Rattus norvegicus: one gene and its partners. The protein of the gene in region 1 interacts with the protein of each later gene in a pairwise test. Links are inferred from orthologs where the notes say so. Each region holds a gene or a part of one and is shown in the gene's direction. Other genes may lie near its edges.

Region 1 (6,522 bases):
GGTTGGAAAGATAAGTCAGTGCTTAAGAGCTCATACTGCTCTGGGAGGGGACTGTGTGGTTCCAAATGCCTACATCAAGTAGTTCACAAATGCCTGTAACTCCAGCTCTAGGTAATCATACCCTGACACCCTCTGACCTCCAAGGGTGCACAGGGACACATGCATACACATAATTAAAACTAAAATTAAATCTTAAGAAAAATTAGAAATGAGCCTCTTTAGGGTTGAGACAGGGTCTCACCATGGTGCCTTGCCTAGCTTGGAACTTAATATGTAGATCGGCCTGCCTGTCTCCCAAGTGCAAGGATTAAAGGTTTGTACCACCATGTAGATTGGGTTCTACAAGAAGAGAATGTAAGCAAGATCGGCCAGAGGTGCTAGATCATCTCTTACACCCAAACGATATAAAGGAGTGGGGTGAATTATAGAACCTCTTGTAGCTAATCAATTTGGGTTTCAAAGTTTGTACCTAAACTAGGAAGGCAAGGCAGTGCCATGATTACCTAAGAGGAGGTGAAAAGGTGTCAAGGACAACCTGGTAGGGAGGCACAGAAAGAAATGGTCCGGTAGTAAGTATTCACAAGCCTCCCATCTATCTGTTCCAACAGGATCTGATATTCCACCGAGCCTCAGCTATGAGGCCTGTGTGGATGGAGTGCAAGGTCATCACCTCTGGTATGGGACTACTCCCTCACTTGGGCTACCCAGAGGAACAGGATGCTCTAAATATTTTAACATTTATCTTTTAAATGTATGTTGACTGTGTGTGATGTGTATGCAAGTGTGGTAGCGACAGAAGAGGTTGTTGGACCCCCTGGAGCTGTAGGGCAGGTGGTTGTGAGCTGGAAAGCAGATATGGGCTATTAAACAGCAGACCAAGTTCTTAACCGACAGTCTCTCCAGCTCCAAGCTCCAGGTTGCCTAGACTTTTAAGAAGACAGTGAGGGTTACCATTCTGGAAAAAAGGGCTTGAAATGACAGTTTTCCAAACTGGGTGCATGCAAAGAAGTAATGTCATAAGGAAATTCCCACTATGGTTCCTTCCCATTCACTACTTTAAAATTAACTGAGAATGGATCAAAAGGCAAAGCAAATTACAAAATGTCACATTTTTTACTTGAGTGGGTTTATTATGTTTTTCAGTATTAACTTGCTATAAAATCTCTTAAAGAAACAAAACAAAGTATGCTTTGAGTTAGCTCTTCGGAATCACAATAGACAAAAAGGTTGCAGAGAACAGCCAAGCCGGATCCTGTCTACAGCCAAACAGGAGATGGGGGAAGGCTGTACTAAAACCTCACAGTGAAGAGTGAAAAGTTACAGGGGTTGTGGGAAGGTGAGCTCTGGCTGGAATGGGAAGTCTTGCTATTCTGTGAGCTGCTTGTTTACTGCTCTCTCATTCACTAACAAGCAGAGGCCGAGGACACTTTGCAGAGGCCCAGGACACTTTGCAGAGGCCCTTCTGAATGAGACAATAGGGCAAGGCTTGAGGATCCTTTAAGTGTTCTGCAAACTTGACCTTTGCTTCTAACAAGACTTTTTCCAAAACAGAGCTCTTTTGTGCGATTTCCGAGACTTGACATGTGACCTAGCAAAGGCCGCAGGCAATGTGACCAGCCCACAATTGATGCATTTATTCAAAGTGTGCTTACTGAGTTTTCTATGTACCAGCCAGCATCCTGAAACTAGGGACAGGGAGGACCCAACTTTTTACAAGACTTTCAAACAAAGCACAGCTAAGTAATGCGATCACTTCTCAGAGTGTCCACAAGCATCTTGAGGCCACCTGGAGGAAAGGGCGTTCATTGGTCAGTGAGGCTGAGGCTGTACAATAAGTCCAAGTCACGCATGGTCAGAAGGCAAAGGCAGGCAACAGACCAGAGATGGCCTACAGAACAACGTAACAATTATTTAATGTCAAGGTAGTTGAGGTAGCTGAAATCCACTTTAAATAGGGAAATGAGGCAATCTAAGTGATTATGACTGCAGCTCTTTTTTTGGCATCAAACAACCAGCATGAGTATATTCTGCAATTCTCTGTGACAAAGGTCTCAACTATCTTGTTTCTTTGATAATCTGTCATAATCTTTGAAACACAGTAGTGGAAGACAATGGTTTGGGGCATGTTTAGAGGCAAACCTTGTTTCAGGGCCAAAGGCTCAATAAGTAAAGATGTGCGGGTAAAGAAAAACGATTTACACGTATTGTACAGCGACGGTGCCTGACACGATCATGGCACGTTTTCAGAACGTTTCAGAACTCTGGAGTAAGCTAGTTACTCCAGAGGGCTCCGGCGAGGAGCACCGGGCACTTGTGAAACTGCCGCCCACGTTCCTCCTGCTCCCCTTTCCTTTCTCTAAAGTGGAACAGAGAGCAACAGTCACTCAGTGAGAGGCGCAAGGCCAAGCGCAGCCTCAATGCGGCCATTGTCATCAAGCGGCACCTCCCCCGCTCACCGCGCGTCCCCATGGCAACTCCGGGCTTCGGCTTCCCCATTCCCTCCCGCCCCCCCCCCCGTCCTGCGGACCGGAAGCCGTGCGCGCCGGGGGCTTGTGGGAAGCGGCTGAAAGCGGCGGCGCAGCGTCTGCCCGGGACGACGAGGCTGTGGCGGGTCCCGAGCCAGAGGTCAGCAGCGCGCGGGGGTAGGGTTCGAGGAGGCGGGGGCTCAGGTAAGGGTCCAGAGGCCGGCGACGCTCAGCATTCCGGGCGTGCGCATAAAAGGCCGCGGCGGCGGAAGGGCGGCGGCGACCTGCGGCACTTCGGGGGTCCGCAGAGCCTCCAGCGCCCGCATCCTCTCCGGCCTGCTTTCCCCTCCCCCACGGGCCGGTTTTGTTCTATTTCGAGGCTCTAGCGGCTCGCGGAGGATTCTGGGAGACGCTCAAGCCGAGGGGGGATCCGGCCGTTCTCGCGCGCGACCTGCTGGGATTTGTAGTCCCGCCGGTCCCGGGCGGAAGTGCCTGTCCTGTGTGGCGGGGTGGTTCTGGGGCTTCTGCAGCCCTTCCTGGTGAATGCTGGGAAGAGGACGTCCGAGTTGCTGGGGCAGGCTGGGCTCAGCGCTGTGAGGCGGGCGGTCGCTGAAGACCAGGATCCCGCCGAGTGCCGGACGGCGTTCCTCCACATCCCACGAGCTTGGTGCAGTACAAAGTAAAAGAAAAAGCAGTTTCTATCACATAGAAATGCTTGATTGCTGATAGAATCGGGTCCAGGAATAAGAACTTAGATTTTGATATCAGGCCATCCCACTCCTGAGTGTCTATATGACCTGTCAGTTTGAGACAGCCTTTTCTGATCTTTTGTCTTCATCTTGATCGGTTTCAATATGGTTTTCTTAAGTTTCTGTCTCTTAAGTTCTTGGCTCTAATAAACAGTAGCCGTAAACTTATTATTCTTTATGTGCTGTAAACCGTGGCACGGCTATGATTTTGCAAATTCCAAAAGCATCAGAAAGTAGCTCAGATTTCCCCAAAGGAAAAGTTAGGGGAAGCTTCATCAGGGAAAAGACTCCCGTACACTGAGAAGTTGTGAGTGCTTTTTCCTAATAGAATTTGCTGTGGTTGAAGCTTGTCACTGTAAGTTTAAATGTATGTATGGTGTGGTGGAAGCCTGAGTAACATTTGTATGTTATGTGAAATAGTTCCTTCCCCAGTGTTATATGATCTGTTACTGAACTGTGTAAAAGAAAGTCTGTGACAAGATCTAATAGCCCAGGTTGGCTTTGCCACATGGATGACCATAATCTTGCTTCTGCATGTAAAGCCTACAATGTTGGGCTTTTGGGCGCATACCTATCTACTAGTGAACATTTTTCGCATATATTTTAAGTTTAGGGAGTTCCTAAACAAACATTAGAGTATTTGTGACAATTCTGGGGATTAGCTCAGCAGTAGAGCATGATGGGTAAGGATAGTCTCTCATTCTGGGGGATTCTAACTGGGAGAACGGTTGATCTATTTCCTACTCCAGGTTTGCAAAAAATGAAAAGTAGGGTGCCTCATCAGGTCGGGGGCTTGTTCCCAAGATCCCAGATTGCACATAGCAGGAGGGAACTAATGTCCCCTGACCTCCACACCTGTGCTGATGTGTTCCAACACGAAATAAATGTCAAAAAACATGTTTTATGTGTCCTACTGTTCTGAATACTTAGTTTGTTATTTTATGTATATTTGCACTGTGTGTTTGCCTGGTGCCTGAGGAGGTGAGAAGAGAGAGGAGTTTGTGGTTCAGGGAAACAAACCAGGGTCCACTGCAGGGGAATGCATTCTTAACTGCTGAACCAACTCTCCAGTCCCAAGCTTCAGGACGTTTGGAGAACACTGAGGTAGACTGCATCTTACCCAGATACTGTAGGCTATTAAATTACCCTTTGTAGACTATATGTCACAAATTAGCAATCTTTTTTTTTTCCTAAAAAGAGCAAGCTGGTAAATATTACATTGTTTTAGATCTTAGCTGAAATCATTGAATACTGTCAACTCTACCACATTATAGCCCAAACCACGATTAAATTTAATGACTTATATACACAAAATGTAAACATATTAATGGGGCTGGAGAGATGGCTCAGTGGTTAAGAGCACTGGCTGCTCTTCCAGAGGACCCAAGTTCAATTCCCAGCACCCACATGGCAGCTCACAACTGTCTCTAACTCCAGTTCTAAGGGGTCTGACATCCTCACACAGACATACATGCAAGCAAAAACAGTGTACATAAACCATTTTTAAAGACATTTTTACATCTTGTGTGTGTGTTTGTCTGTCTGTCTCTGTGTGTGTGTCTGTCTGTCCCACTTGTGAAGACCAGACTTGCAGAAATAATTTTTCTCTTATGTACATGTTGGTCATTGGACTCAAGTCATCAGGCCTTTGCCAGATGAGTAACCTTGCTGGTCCTAGACAGACACATCATATTTTCTCAGCATGAAGTATTTCTGTACTTTTTTAGTCATTAAAACGTTTACACTACTTCTCTACGGATGGTGTAGCAGGCAGCAGGGTAAATAGGCTGTGGTTTACCAGCTATGGCAGACTTTCAGTCAGTGTAAGTTATTGATTTCAAGTTTTAATCAAGTAAAGCAATGTATCTCTTTTTTTTTCCTTCTGCTTTTCGAATATCATGGGGTACTTGGTGATTTATGTGTTTTTTATTTCTTGTACCTTAGGAGTACTTTTGAGGAAAACAGGGTATTTCTGAGGTCTGTACCTTGCCTCAGTTGCCTTTTCTTGGAGGTATTGTAACAGGATGTCTGCCCAGTCAGTGGAAGAAGATTCAATACTTATCATCCCAAATCCAGATGAAGAAGAAAAAATTCTGAGAGTGAAACTAGAGGAGGATCCTGACGGTGAAGAAGGATCGAGCATTTCCTGGAACCATCTCCCTGACCCGGAGATTTTCCGGCAGCGGTTCAGGCAGTTTGGATACCAGGATTCACCAGGACCGCGAGAGGCGGTGAGCCAGCTCCGAGAACTGTGCCGCCTGTGGCTCAGACCGGAGACGCACACGAAGGAGCAGATACTGGAGCTGGTGGTTTTGGAGCAGTTTGTCGCCATCCTCCCCAGGGAGCTACAGACTTTGGTTCGAGAGCATCACCCAGAGAACGGAGAGGAGGCAGTGACTGTTCTAGAGGACTTGGAGAGTGAACTTGATGACCCTGGACAGCCGGTGAGCATGCTTGACTCATTTCCCCAAGGCAGGACACTAACATAGCAGTAGGCAAACTGCTGGATTAACTGCACTTGGCTAAGTTATATCTGTACCTCCCTCCAGTGTCCTTGCAACTCGGCAGGACCTCCGCTGTGCTGCTAGCTAGGATTCTCATGTCTTCTGTATGTTCTGTTATACTGCTTAGTGTCAGAGTCCCTTCTCAACCAAACTCAAATCTTGTTTTCAGGTTTCTCTCCGTCGGCGGAAACGGGAAGTACTTGTAGAAGAGATAGCATCTCAAGAAGACGCTCAGGGATTACCGAGTTCTGAGCTTGACGCCGTAGAGAACCAGCTCAAGTGGGCATCCTGGGAACTCCACTCTCTGAGGCACTGTGGTGAGGACCAGGACACCATGTTGACTTTCCCCAGAGTGCTTTGCTTGTTCTTGTGGCAAACCCCTTTTAGTCTGCAGTTTTAGAAATATGTCTGCATTAAGAGCTTGTCTTTTTCTGCTGATTGATTCACTGGCCTGAGGTACTTTTACTCCCAGACATTAACATCTTCAGCGGTTTTGCCGTCTTCTTTCATGAAGACCTGCCTGTGTAGGGCTCACATTTGTGCCCATGTAGCATTTGTGTGTTTCTCAGCCAGGACCTGTAGCCAAGGCTGCTTTGTTCATGGGATTCCTGAGCTGCTGCGTTTCATGCTCTTTTGCTTTCCATCTCCTTTGTACTGACCTAGTGAATTTTTTTTTTATTGTTGGATTATATTTTATTCTTTTAACTTACACTTTCAATGATTTTGGCTGTGTGTGTATGTGAAGTTATAATCAAGTCTAAAAACAAACCATAAAACATGACGAATTATGTCAAAGTCCTGCGG
Region 2 (6,322 bases), on another chromosome or scaffold:
GGCCCTGTGTTTTGTTTTGAGACAGGGTTTCTTGGTGTAGCCCTGGTCACCTAGAACAGGATGGAGCTCTGTAGACCAGGCTGGCCTGAATTCAGAGAAATCCACCTGCCTCTGCCCCACCAAGCACTGGGATGAAAGGCATGTGCCATCACAGCCCAGCATTGAAGCCCCTATCTTAAAAAGAAAAAACTGAGTTGATACACACCTGTGTGAACAATACTTGTTTTTACCTTAGAGAAGATATTAAACGGATGTTCACAGACATGATATTGAAGTAAGCACAGAGGATTTGGCTTTAATCTGGGTTCTGAGGTCACAGAGATACAGCTTATCTGTAGCCCAGTGTAGGATGGAGTCATCTATGTCCCTTTGGTGGCCACAGGTAGGTGGGGGAAGCCAGGAGGTCTAGGAAAAGGCAATCTGCTCCAGAGCAACAGTTCTGTTGAAAGATGAGCCTTTGTGGAGAGAGGAGGGTGGGAAGAATGAGTCACTGCTATGAGCACGTCTGCTGTTGAGGATGAGTGCATGTGTAAAGTTGAGTCCAGCTCTTTAGGAACTCCCGTCCCGTCACCTGGAGGTATAGTGGTGTAGACCTGTAACCCTAGCACTTTGGGAGGCTGAGACAGGAGGATCTGAAGTTAACCCTCCAGATCAGTGTGAGGCTACTGAGAAAGTCTGCAGAAAAAAAATTACACAGGTCAGATGTCTAATCCCAGCACACAAGAGACAGAGACAAGTAGGACTACATAGCAGTTGGAGGTCCATAGTGAGACCCTGTCTCAAAAAAGCAATAAAACCATCTTGCAGCTACCATCTATGCATAAGACACACCTGTCCCACCCATCTGCCAGTAGAGTCAGACACATCTGTCCACTAAACCTCATTAATTCATGAAAGGAGGGATGCTGTACAGGATCCAGCTGCCCAAGACCCTGTAAGAGAAAATTCTCTGAGGTAGGCCTCCTGATACCCAGTAGGCCCACTGTCAGCTCCTCTCGGATGGAACTATGTAACGCCAGGAAGGCCCAGGACCAAAGATACGTTGAGGAAACTGAGTTCCCCAACAGTTCTCTGACAGTCCTGAGCCTTCTGGGATCCACAGACTGGAATTGTTACCACCTTCTCTTCCTCACCAGCCTCTGCTTTTAAGCTGAGTGCTTTTTACCTCCACACTCCTTGGATCTACCTCTTCCAATACCGAGAACTGGCCTGCGCTCCCCTATGTGTGGGAGTTCCCCAAGAACTACGGCTATACTGGGTTAGCTCCTCTTAACAGGCTACGCTTGTAAAAATGCCTATGGGTTTTCTAAGTCAAATGTTAAACCAGCTAAGCTTGGTAGCACCTGCCTGTGTTCTCAAAGCTGAGAAAACTGAAGCTGCAGGTTACAGAAACCCTGTCTTAAAACAACAAAACCCTCACCTCCCAATCCCACAAAACCAAATAAACACATGCACCAAACTTCACCTTTGGCTCTACAGCTGAACATGATGCACCACACTCCACACTTGGCTGTAAGTCTGTAGGTGAAGATGGAGGGGGGGTGGCATTCAAGGGAAATCAAATACTGAGCTGACACTGGGGGTCTCTCTCTCATGATTTTCCTGGGCAGCCGTAAACCTATACTCCAACTGGAAGAAAGCCTCTTAGGTCCCACTTGGTCAATGAGTTTGTTAGGGTTACAAGAGTAAGCATTTGAGGAGTGAGAGTGGCTAAGCTGCCCACAAAACACTCAGAGGGCCCTAATGACTGGGTCCAGCCCCTCCAGATGCATGGGGTCCAAGCTCCTCTGTGCAGAGTAAAAAGCCTACGCTCAAGACTTGAAAACCCACCAACTCCCCTACTCTGGAACGTCCCAGCGCCCCCCGATTCACCTGAGCAGAGGCAACCATCTTCTGAGTTTTTCCCTCCCAATAAATCTCCTGTCTGAGGTTTGTTGTGTGCTGTGACTTTGTAGTATCCAACTTCCAGGATACCTTTCCCTTCAGAACTGTAACACTGTCATTGGAGAAGGCTTTCTCCACCCATAGCTGTAACATTACAAGAACATGGGTGACTGAAGAATCCCAACCCTAATCAATTTTTTATCTTAAAATTTATCATTTCTAAGATCACACACAGTTGGGCAGGAAGGACTGGTGACAAAAATGTTTCCCCATCCCAAGAGAAAACATGAACATCCAAGTATTTTCAGTACAGTTATCTGAAGACTATTAATGAGGGGGTAATTACATAGTTACCTCCCTCCTCCGAGCGCTTGCTCACCCGTGGGCCTACTGCCCCCACAATATCCAGGGAGCTTAACGGAGATCCCACAGAGGCCATAGTGGGTATTCCTCGCCTCCCACCGGGATTCCTACTGGTACTGTCTGGAACAGTCTGGGATGACGCCTGGACTCAAGAGGCCAAGAAGCCTCTACCTAGGCCTTCTCCAAGGCAGGACGACCCTCACGGCATAACTCAGAGAACAGTAAAAGGCCGTAGGTTGTGCGCTGGCTGTTACCTAGGAGACACAAGGAGCGCGAGCCCTTTGGGGAGCGCCAGCTCTGATTGGTCAGGATGCCCTAACTAGCCAATAGAAACCAGTTCCGCTGTGCACATGCGTCAAGAGGCTAACCCCCAGTCTGGGTCGGCTGTACGTGAGTCCTACGGCTGAGGTTGCAAGAGAAGAACCGCTGCCAAGTCAGGAAGGGGAACCCCCGGAACTCTGCGGCAAAGCGACCCCGAGGAGAGGAACGAAGAGCCTCCCGCGTTAGAGGCCCTGGAAGCGTGCTGTCGTCCTTGCTGAGGCTCACGGGAGACGTAGTCCAAGCGGAGGGGGCCGTTCCTGCGGAGCAGGTGCAGGATTGGCCAGGCTGGTAGGCTAACGGGAGAGGCGGGGCGATCTGTGAGTGGTAGTGGGACGCGCTCCGTGTCACTTCCTGGAAGTGCCTCAAGCTTCTCGGGCTCCCCCACGCGTCAGAGGTGAGCGCACTCCTAGCTGTGCAGGCGCAGCTTTATAATCCCCCTCCTCTGACCGCCGAGAGTGCCTCCCAGCCATCGGACCCACCCTTTTTCTGTGTCAGAGCCTGAGACCCCAACTCTGAGTGTCTCCTGAACAGGCCAGATGTCTCAGGAGAGCTGATTTCAATCCAGAACTTCTTAAGAGCTGGTACATAGGTTCCAGCTGACTACACACAAAACGGGGCTGTTTGATTTGGCTTTTGTTTCGGGGTTTCACATGCATAGGCTGAGGCAGTGTGAGGCATCCACAGTTCAGTTGTGGTCAGTGAACTGTGTCTGCCAGCCTATATAAGCCCCTGGCAGTGCACCCAAGCTTTCAGCGCTGCCCCCCAGGTGATGTACTTGGGCCCCAGAGTCAACTCTTCAGCTAGCACAGTGGTCTGCCTCCTGCCTGAAGCCTCAGGGCTTCAGGTTACCCTGGATGATGGTCCGATCTATGTCCTGCTTGAACTCTTGTCTACCGGGGGAACCACTTTCATCTCCCAACAGCCCTCTGTTTTACCCAAATATTTGAGCCAGTAATTTGCAGTTTTCTAGAAGATCCTTGGACACCTTCTACTCAAGTCGTTATCTTCAAGGCTTTCTCAACTACTGTGGGCCTGCACCTTCCATGACCTTCCTTGAAGTTCTCCTGCCCACAGGGTTCTCTTTATGGCTTCTAGGAAGGATCTGGTGTATGCCTTCTGACCTTAGATGACATTCTTCCTTTTCTGTAGGTAGGACCCTCTGTCACCTCCAAAAAGACCCTCAAAACAAGAATGCCATCTCCTCTGGGTACCCCACACCTATCCTTCAGAGACTCCAGGACCACCCTTGAGGAGCCTGAGGCTGCACGACTCCATTTCCGGGGTTTCTGCTATGAGGAGGTTGAGGGACCCCGAGAGGCATTGGCCCGGCTTCGAGAGTTGTGTCACCAGTGGTTGCAGCCTGAGTCATCCTCCAAAGAGCAGATGATAGAGTTGCTGGTTTTGGAACAGTTCCTGGGTGTGTTGCCTCCTGAGATCCAGGCCTGGGTTCGAGGACAGCGACCAGGAAGCCCCGAGGAGGCCGCTGCCCTTGTTGAGGAGCTGCAGCATGATCCTGGACAGCTGCTGGGCTGGGTGAGTGCAATGACATTAGCTTCTTAAAGGGACAGATTGAAGGGAGAGCCCCTGTAACATGCTTCTCTTCAGATCACAGCCCACATCCTGAAGCCAAAGATACTTCCTTCAGTCCAGAAGATGGAGGAGTCCTCAGGGAGCCACCACATCTCAGCAGCAATGGAATCCTCCAAGGCAGGCCCAGCGGAGGCACCGCAGGACGCAGGGATAGACAGATCTACCCAGATCAGTTGCAGTGTGAAGGAGGAAGTCAGTGCTGATGGGCAGGAGATGGGTGAGGGGATGCAGCATCTGAACTCAAATCCCTGGGGTGTGTGGGGTACGGGGGGGGGGGTTAGAGTAAGGTGCTCTAGGAGAGGTTTTGCAGGGCTGCAACTCCTGAAATGAGTCTGGACAATCCCAGCTGAGATAAGGACTCTGGAGAGACCATAAAGCTGAATTTCTGAGAAGGAACAGGGTGATCTCCCCCATGTCAAATTGCAGAGGCGGGCCAAAGGCCAATGCAGTAACAACAGCTTGATACTCCTTCCCATCTGCCTCTCTTTCTCAGTATCTCCAAGCACCCTCCTTCCAGCCCAGGGCCCTGAGGGACATCTTGAACATCAGGAAACAGCCTCCGTATCGTTCCAGCCAGGAAGAATCCAGGTAAACAGCCTCTAGCAGGCCTTGCATGTGGGAGGAGGAGTGTCTCTGGTGGCTTGTGTTCTGCCCTACAGTTTTGTAGGATCCCCTGCCAGTGACTCATGTGGTTTTTACTACTTCTGAGTAGTAAATACCTTCCCTCCCATCAAGTCCTATTGGTAGCCTCTCATTAGAAAGGATTTAGGCCCCAGATCCAGAAGTGGCTAGAACTGGTGGGCATGGATTTCTCACCTCCAGAGAAGTCAGTTACTGGAAAGGTTTACAGTATACACAAGCCATGAGCCAGTTGTTATGTGTACAGTTGGGGAGGGGATGGCCATGCAGGATTCCTGCAGTCCTGAGGTCAGATCAAAATTCTCTTCCCGAACATTCCTCAAACCCCTTCTACTGCTCTTTTCAGAGTACAGTGACACAGAGGCTGAGCTTAACCTGCTACCTGCATGTGTATAGTTAACATGGAGAGAGTAGAGATCTGTCCCCTCTAGGTTCTTTCTGCTTCTGAGCCCTTACCTTCTTTCTCAATAGAATGTCTAGTTAGGGTGTGCTTCAAGGTTAAGAAACCCTTCTTTGATCCCTCTCTGGTATCCTGCTCCATTCCAGACTAATAACACCTCTAGATGTAGCTGTGGCAGCCACCTTCCTTTCTCCAGATTTGCTTTGGCTTGTCCTTCAGGGTTATTTTTCTCAACCTATCAAAGACCTATATGGCAGATTTCAGGGCAAGGGATTCTTTCCTTGGTATGGCCATCACAGCACGCATGCATGCCCTCGTGCACACACACACACACACACTGTCTTGCCACCAAATTGCCCCTCTTCAGACCTTGCTTGAACCGGCTGCCACCTGGCACAAAGCACCTAAGCTTTCTCTCTCCATCGCCTTTACCTACTCACCTCATCACATCAATTCCTCCTCCCCCTCTACCCCTTTGTGTGTGTGTGTGTGTGTGTGTGTGTGTGTGTGTGTGTGTGTGTGTGTGTGTGTGTTGGGAGGCAGTTTGAGACAAGGTTTCTCTGTGTAACAAGCCCTGGCTGTCCTGAACTAGCTTTGTAGACCAGGAACTTCCGAGTACTGGGACTAAAGGTGTGCTCCACCATGCCCAGCTTCATTACTCTTTTTAATCTTCCTCCCCACCACATCCTGTTTTTGTTCTGTTTTGTTTTGTTTAATCTCTCTACAAAGCCCCAAATGTCCTGGATCTGAGTATGTAGACCAGGCTGACCTCTGCTTCTGAGCACTGGGATCAAAGTGTGCACCCATCATGCCTGGCTCCTTAATCCTCTTTCTAAAAAATAAAATGAAATAAAGGTTTTGCAAATGTAGCTCACTTGGTAGAGTGCCCACCTAGCATGCATGAGGTCCTAGATTTTATCTCCAGCACTGCATAAACTGGTAATCCCAGAACTCAGGAGGTAGAGTCTGGAAAATCAGAACTTTCAAGTTATGCTCAGCTACACAGTGCATTTGAGGCTAACGTGGGCTACACAGACCCACTCTTTCTCACAGGCACTTCAATAAAGGCCAAAGAAAAAGCTCTCACCCCAAGGAAGAATTTTCAGTTTTGTTAGTCAGTGTTGA
Region 3 (6,342 bases), on another chromosome or scaffold:
TGGAGTCCTGGGCCAGCCTGGGCTACATCGAAGGGTATGCCTCAAACATGTTAAACATTGTAAAGCAGACCCCAGGCACAGACCGCTTCTCCCTCCGTTTCGTTTTTGTTTGGTTTGTTTTTGCTTTTTGAGACAGGGTCTCCCTGTGTGGTTCTGGATCTTGCTGTGTGGACCAGATTGGCCTCAAACTCAGTGTGTACCCTCCTGGTTCTGCTGTGACTATAGCTGCCCTCCCATCTCTCAGCATAGAGCACACTCATTCACACACACACACACACACACACACACACACACACACACACAAGTGCTGAGATTAAAGATATGTACCATCACTCCCTGGAATGCATTCTCTTCTGACAGGTAATGAGCGGGCACTCGAGGAAAGTCAGACCCAGGTCCCCAGCTGGTAAGAGATGGAGCTTGAATTTAAACTCAGGCAGCTGTGCCCCCCAACCTGACTGGGTATTTAAGTACTTGGACATCATAAGTATCTGGGAGAGGGCACACTGAGATGGCTCAGTAGGTATGCCTACCAAGCCTGACTACCTGCGTTCTATCCCCAACATGAGGAGAGGAGAGAACTGACTCCCACTCCTCCTCTGACCTGCACACACTGACACAGTCACACTTGTACACACACACACACACACACACACACACACACACACACACACACAGTGATTTCTTTTTTTCTTAATTTAAGGGTGGAAAGATGGCTCAGTAGTTAAGAGCACATACTGCTTTTCTGAAATATCTGAGTTCAGTTCCCAGACCCCATGTCAGGTGACTCAACAACTGTCTATAGTCCCAGCCCCAGGGAGTCGGACGTCCTCTCCTAGACTCTGGGCACAATCACACACTATTTAAAAATAAATTTCTCTTAAAAAACTTCCCCCATGGAGGTAGTGGCCTCCTAGCATTTAGCAGGCAGAAGCAGGCAGCTCAGGGGCAGCCAAGGCTACATAAAGAAACCCTGTCTCAAACCAGAAACAAACAAAAAACAAAAATAAAAACATTGTCAAGGCAGTTGGGAAGAGAGGGGAAAATCTTAAATGCAGTTTCTGGATTCTGGCATCTCAATTTGCATTTGAGACTTTACCCGACACAATGCCAATGTCAGGCTCTGGTGCTGTGTGAGTCCTCAGTGGTCATTGAATAAAAAATAAAAAGGAAAAGAAAGGTCATGACTGCTTCTAAGTGGAGCAGAAAGTCTATTGTAGATAAAAGGAGAGCAGAGGCAGAGCCGTCTGGGTCTGGGAGAGTCTAGAGAGAACATGGCCGGACTGAGCTGGACCATGTGAGGAGAGAAGAGGACAGGGGGAATCAGGTGCAGCACCCAGGAGGGCAAAGATACAGAAACCCAGATGTCTGGCGCATAAATTTATATATATATATATATATATATATATATATATATATATGCATGCATATGCCTCTGGGAGGAGGGTAGCCCAACCCCTGGGTTAGAAAGTTTAGGGGACAGGATATACCAACCATACCCCTTAATCTGTAGGGACTGAGGGGTGCTGGGAGGACCAGGTGGCCAGGTCTGACTTGATATATTAACTAGGTGCCTCAGCCATTTGCCCTGGGTTTGAAGTTAACAGTTACCCACACAGCAGTGAGATGTGACCCAACTGAAGCTAGCACAGTACGTCTTGGGCATAAGCTATAGCTCAGTGCTAGGACCCCTGCCTGGAATCCTCCAGTGAGGGTCAGAGAAGTGGAGCTTAGTGGGAGAGTACTGACTTAGCCTTTGTGAGGTTCTGAGTCCATCTCAGTGGTTCAGGAGCAGTCTGCTTGCCTGGCCTCTACAGACAGCCAGGGACTCAGCTTGTCCAGAACAGAGCAAGAGAGGAGAGGGGTAAGAGACTTCCTCAGAGAGCAAGGTCTGGGAGGCAGAAAAGCCTGTAGATTTGATTGTAAACTAGATGGGAGCTTCTAGGAGGCCGGGGCATGGTTACACTGCGTATATGTGAGTACTAGGTTTGTGAGTATATGTAAGTACTGAGTATATGTGAGTACTGAGAATATGTGAGTACTGGACTGGTGAGTTTATATAAGTACTGAGCATATGTGAGTACTGGGTCAGTGAGTATATGTAAGTACTGAGTATATGTGAGTACTGGGCTGGTGAGTATATGTAAGTACTGAGTATATGTGAGTACTGGGCCAGTGAGTATATATAAGTACTGAGTATATGTGAGTACTGCGCCAGTGAGTATATGTGAGTACTGGGCAGGTGAGATGGCTCAGTGGCTTTCCACTAAGCCTACAGCCTGAGTATAGTGAAAGGCTCACATGAGGAAAGGAGAGAACTGACTCCTACACGTTGTCCTCTGACCTCCATGTGCTTCACATGCCATACACACACAGAGAAATTCACGTTATAAAGTGTACATTTAAAAGGAGCCCTTTGCAGCTTCTGCAGCAGGAGCAGGACAGGCGGTAGGAATTGAGGGAAGGGCTAGGACAGATACCAATTGTACTCGGACACCTCAGTGTAGAGTCTGGAGTCACATGGCTCTCTTACCTGTCTGTCTGTCTGCCTGCCTCCCTCCCTCCCTCCCTCCCTCCCTCCCTCCCTCCCTCCCTCCCTCCCTCCAGGCTCTCCTTGGCTACCCCTGCACTCTGTGGAGGCTCAGCGTCAGGTTGCAACTCAGAACTCCTGTGAACTCCAAGAACCAGAAGATCCAGGCCACAGAGCCCCATCTTCACAGCCTCCGCAGCCCCCGCAGCCTCCAAAGGGCACTCCTCACTGCATGTGCTCGCCAGGCTGATTTCACAGTTGGAGCCTTGCTAGTAAGACCCTACAGGCAGTTCCCAAGATGGTGAGTAGAGGATTCCCAGGTCTGCACTCCTCCTGGCAGCCCTGCCCATCCCAGGCCCTTGAGTGGTCATTATTGGTTGTCATATATGGTGGTTGCAGAGCTTCGCTGGGAACTGGAACACCCCACCCCCAGTCACCTCTCTGTGAAGATCTTGCTCCCCTCCTGCCCTTTCCCTTCCTTCCTTATGCTATTTAGCTAAGGATGATCTTAAACTCCTAGTCCTTCTTCCTCAGAGATCCATATCCAAATGCAGGATTATGCCTCCCTGCTTCAGAGTGGGGGATGGAAGCCAGGGCCTTGCAAGTTCCAGACAGGAGCTCTGCCACTGAGCCACATTCCAACCCTGCCTTACCCCAGCCTTCCTTACCCCAGCCCTGCCTTACCCCAGCCTTCCTTACCCCAGCCCTGCCTTACCCCAGCCTTCCTTACCCCAGCCCTGCCTTACCCCAGCCCTGCCTTAGCCCAGCCTTACACTAGCCACTATGAAATGTGTGTGTCCCTGCCCACTTTCTTCTTCAGTTTAGCTCTAGGAAACTCATCCTCTGAAAAGGAGGCCCTGTACAGCTAAGCTAATCAATAACTTTTAAAAATAGATAATTATGCTTTTGTTTATTGTAGAACAGGTGTGCGTGCATGTGGTAGTCAGCTTGGAGGAATTGGTTCCTCTTCCACCCTGTGGTCCCCAGGTTTAAATTCAGGTCCTTAGGCTGGCAGACACCATCAGCCCTAAGCAGCCGCTTCTGCCTCACCACCCCTGACAGCAACACTGCTGCTTCCAGCTGAGCCTGCCTGCCGTGAGCGTCCAAACTCTCCCGTCTGCCCTCCCTGCTCTCCTTGAGACTCACGGCCTCTTCTGTCATTGGTTGTTCTTGCATGTGTGTTTATGGACACATTTCCAAATATAACCTGTTGAGTGCAAACACTGTCGCTCGTGTGTGTGTTTTTAGGGATGACATTTGGCACTGGGAACCCGTTGGTGTGTTTCTCTTTGGGGAGAGCAGCCTCACCTGCTCCCAGATTTCCTCAGTTGCCTGTGGTTCTATGTATAGGGTAGAGGCCTCATGGTCTTCACCCTGTCCTCTTTAACATGTTGGTTGGTGTTCTTGTTCACCTCATGTTTGGGCAGTCATGTGGGAGAGCCTTCACAGGTATGGCTTGTAATGCCTCTAAGAGACATAGTCTCACAGCAAAGTCCTCTGGACCTCATAATCAATCTCCTGCCTCCTCTCCCACAGTGGTCACTGTGCCAGAGTTGGGGGGAGGGGGGGCGTTGCAGTTGGGCAGCTGCTGCACAACCCTGCGTATGGATCGGTTGTGGCTTTCCGTGTGGTCTCTGTCTCTTGCAAAGGGACATTTTCTTGATGAGGGATAAAGACCACACTTGTTGGTCTAGACCCCGGAGGAGGACATGGTAACCTGGATATGGGGTGCGTAGGCCCTGCATGGCCTTCTCCAACTTTTTCCCTCTGCTTTCAGGGGGAAAGGAAAGGCCAGAACAAGTACTACCCTCCGGACTTCAACCCCGAAAAGGTGAGCATCTCCCCACAGCCCCACAGCTTAGGGACCAAGTGTGACAAGTCACCTAGAGAAGACTCGCAGGCCCCTCCCTGGAGAATGTGTGCAGACTCTACCCAATTACCATGCCATTACATATAAAGCATTCCTAAAGATGCTGGTGTCCCTGGGGGCTCCTGGAACTGCTTCCTTCAGATACCAAGGACAACTCTGTCCCTGGCCCCAAGCTGTGTACCTCCACACCTCCCATGTTGCTTGTAGGGTGTAAGAATGAAGCCCCTCCTACTTAGGAGGCATTGTCCCCCAGCGTAGGAACAGCAAGGGAACAAGCTACCCAGCTTAGCCCGCTCTCCTTCACTTACCCTTTCTACACAGCATGGCTCTCTCAACCGATACCACAACAGCCACCCACTTCGAGAACGGGCTCGGAAGCTCTCACAAGGCATCCTTATTATCCGGTAAGAAACTTCTCCCCTTCTCCCAAGACCTCCACTTTGCATCGATCTCATATCCCCTAATTGACTGACCCAATGCTGCAAGGTTATAATTCCATGAAGCTGATAGACAGTGCATCAGTCAGCCATCACTGTGTGAGAGAACAATCAGTCAGCTATTGCTGTATGAGAGAACAATCAGTCAGCTATTGCTGTATGAGAGAACAATAAGCATTTTTATTGATAACAAGGCTGGGCGTCTCTTCTGGGCTTGGAAGGGAGACTAGGCCTTCTTCCTTTATTGATGAGTGCTTGGAGGCAGAAGACAAGTCCTATGGGGCCTTGGCCTGTATGGGTAGACTGCTCCACAGTGGGTCTCTCTTCCAGCAGACCAGCTATATTATGGCTCCAAAAGAAGAAGTGCCAGGGGTCTTAAGGCCAAGACAAGACCTGACACCCTTGAACCTTCTTTCCTATTAGTTGTGTGGTCAGACCCTGACTCCAGGCCTGGGACCAGACTCTGTCTGGGTAGGACAAGCCAGAGAGTGATGCATAAGGAAATGAGCACAGAAGAAAGAGTGGCCAGCCAGGGCCTGCACAGGTGTACACATCTGCCTACCAAGGACTATGTGGCCTGAGGCAGGAGGATTACTTGAGTCCAAGAGTTCAGGAATAGACTAGGTAACACAGCCAGAATACATCTTAAGAAAAAAGGGGTGTGGGGAGCAGTGACTCAGTGGGTAAAGGCATTTGTGGTCAAGCCAGATAACCTGAATTCGGTCCCCACACCCGCAGAATAGAAGGATAAAACCAACTCATGAAGGTCGTCTTCTGACCACCACACACAATGGTTAAATCAATAAATAAATGCAAGAACAAAACATTTAAAGAAAAAAAACAACAGGTTGGGGATTTAGCTCAGTGGTAGAGCGCTTGCCTAGCAAGCGCAAGGCCCTGGGTTCGGTCCCCAGCTCCGAAAAAAAAGAAAAAAGAAGAAGAAAAACAACAACAATTAAAAGTCCTTGTCTTTGTTTAGATTTGAAATGCCATACAACATCTGGTGTGACGGCTGTAAGAACCACATCGGCATGGGTGAGCGTGGGTGAGCGCCGCAATGGGTGAGCATGGGTGAGCGTCGCCCTCCCCACCTGCCTTGCCCACCCCTTCAGCCCCCTCTGTGCCAGGTGTTATGAGACACTGGAGATGTTGTCAACCCCACCTTCTGACAAATCAGAAGGTGGCAGGTACCCAAACCAGAGAGCAATGAGAAAGCTAGGCCCTGAGGTCCAGATCCTGGGCAAGGGCAGGGCAGGGTCCTGCCTCAGGGCTAGCTAGACTGCAGGAAAGACGATGACAATCTAGGAGCACAGTGCTGGGAGACAAGGTGGCTGGGGGAGGAAAGGATGAGGCTGTGAGGAAGGTGAGTGACCCGCAGACTACCTAAGGATGTGCACTGTCGGAACAGAGACCAAGCCTGGGGAGTGTTTAAGCCCCTGGGTCCTGTTCCTAAGATTGGAAACGGAGGGAGCTGAACCTCCGCAGGTGCCTCATGGCCATCTTTA

The links.
Region 2: the proteins of Zfp24 (region 1) and Zfp446 interact in binary tests that used the Homo sapiens proteins (3 or more experiments, as listed by UniProt). The link is inferred for Rattus norvegicus from reciprocal best matches to the Homo sapiens genes ZNF24 and ZNF446.
Region 3: the proteins of Zfp24 (region 1) and Yju2b interact in binary tests that used the Homo sapiens proteins (3 or more experiments, as listed by UniProt). The two-hybrid records come from large-scale screens. The link is inferred for Rattus norvegicus from reciprocal best matches to the Homo sapiens genes ZNF24 and YJU2B.

The regions. Positions count from the first base shown.
Region 1 is NC_086036.1:15,578,037-15,584,558, reverse strand, and holds the start of Zfp24 (zinc finger protein 24), read left to right. Parts: upstream 1-2,597; 5' UTR 2,598-2,669; intron 2,670-2,723; exon of another isoform or gene 2,724-3,144; intron 3,145-5,158; 5' UTR 5,159-5,238; coding exon 5,239-5,658; intron 5,659-5,887; coding exon 5,888-6,035; intron 6,036-6,522. UniProt on the Homo sapiens protein: Transcription factor required for myelination of differentiated oligodendrocytes. Required for the conversion of oligodendrocytes from the premyelinating to the myelinating state.
Region 2 is NC_086019.1:82,671,327-82,677,648, forward strand, and holds the start of Zfp446 (zinc finger protein 446), read left to right. Parts: upstream 1-2,593; 5' UTR 2,594-2,856; intron 2,857-2,955; exon of another isoform or gene 2,956-3,334; intron 3,335-3,717; 5' UTR 3,718-3,759; coding exon 3,760-4,101; intron 4,102-4,173; coding exon 4,174-4,375; intron 4,376-4,651; coding exon 4,652-4,746; intron 4,747-6,322. UniProt on the Homo sapiens protein: May be involved in transcriptional regulation.
Region 3 is NC_086037.1:40,800,442-40,806,783, forward strand, and holds the start of Yju2b (probable splicing factor YJU2B), read left to right. Parts: upstream 1-2,613; 5' UTR 2,614-2,828; coding exon 2,829-2,831; intron 2,832-4,307; coding exon 4,308-4,361; intron 4,362-4,716; exon of another isoform or gene 4,717-4,721; coding exon 4,722-4,804; intron 4,805-5,816; coding exon 5,817-5,872; exon of another isoform or gene 5,873-5,894; coding exon of another isoform or gene 5,895-5,898; intron 5,899-6,342. UniProt on the Homo sapiens protein: May be involved in mRNA splicing.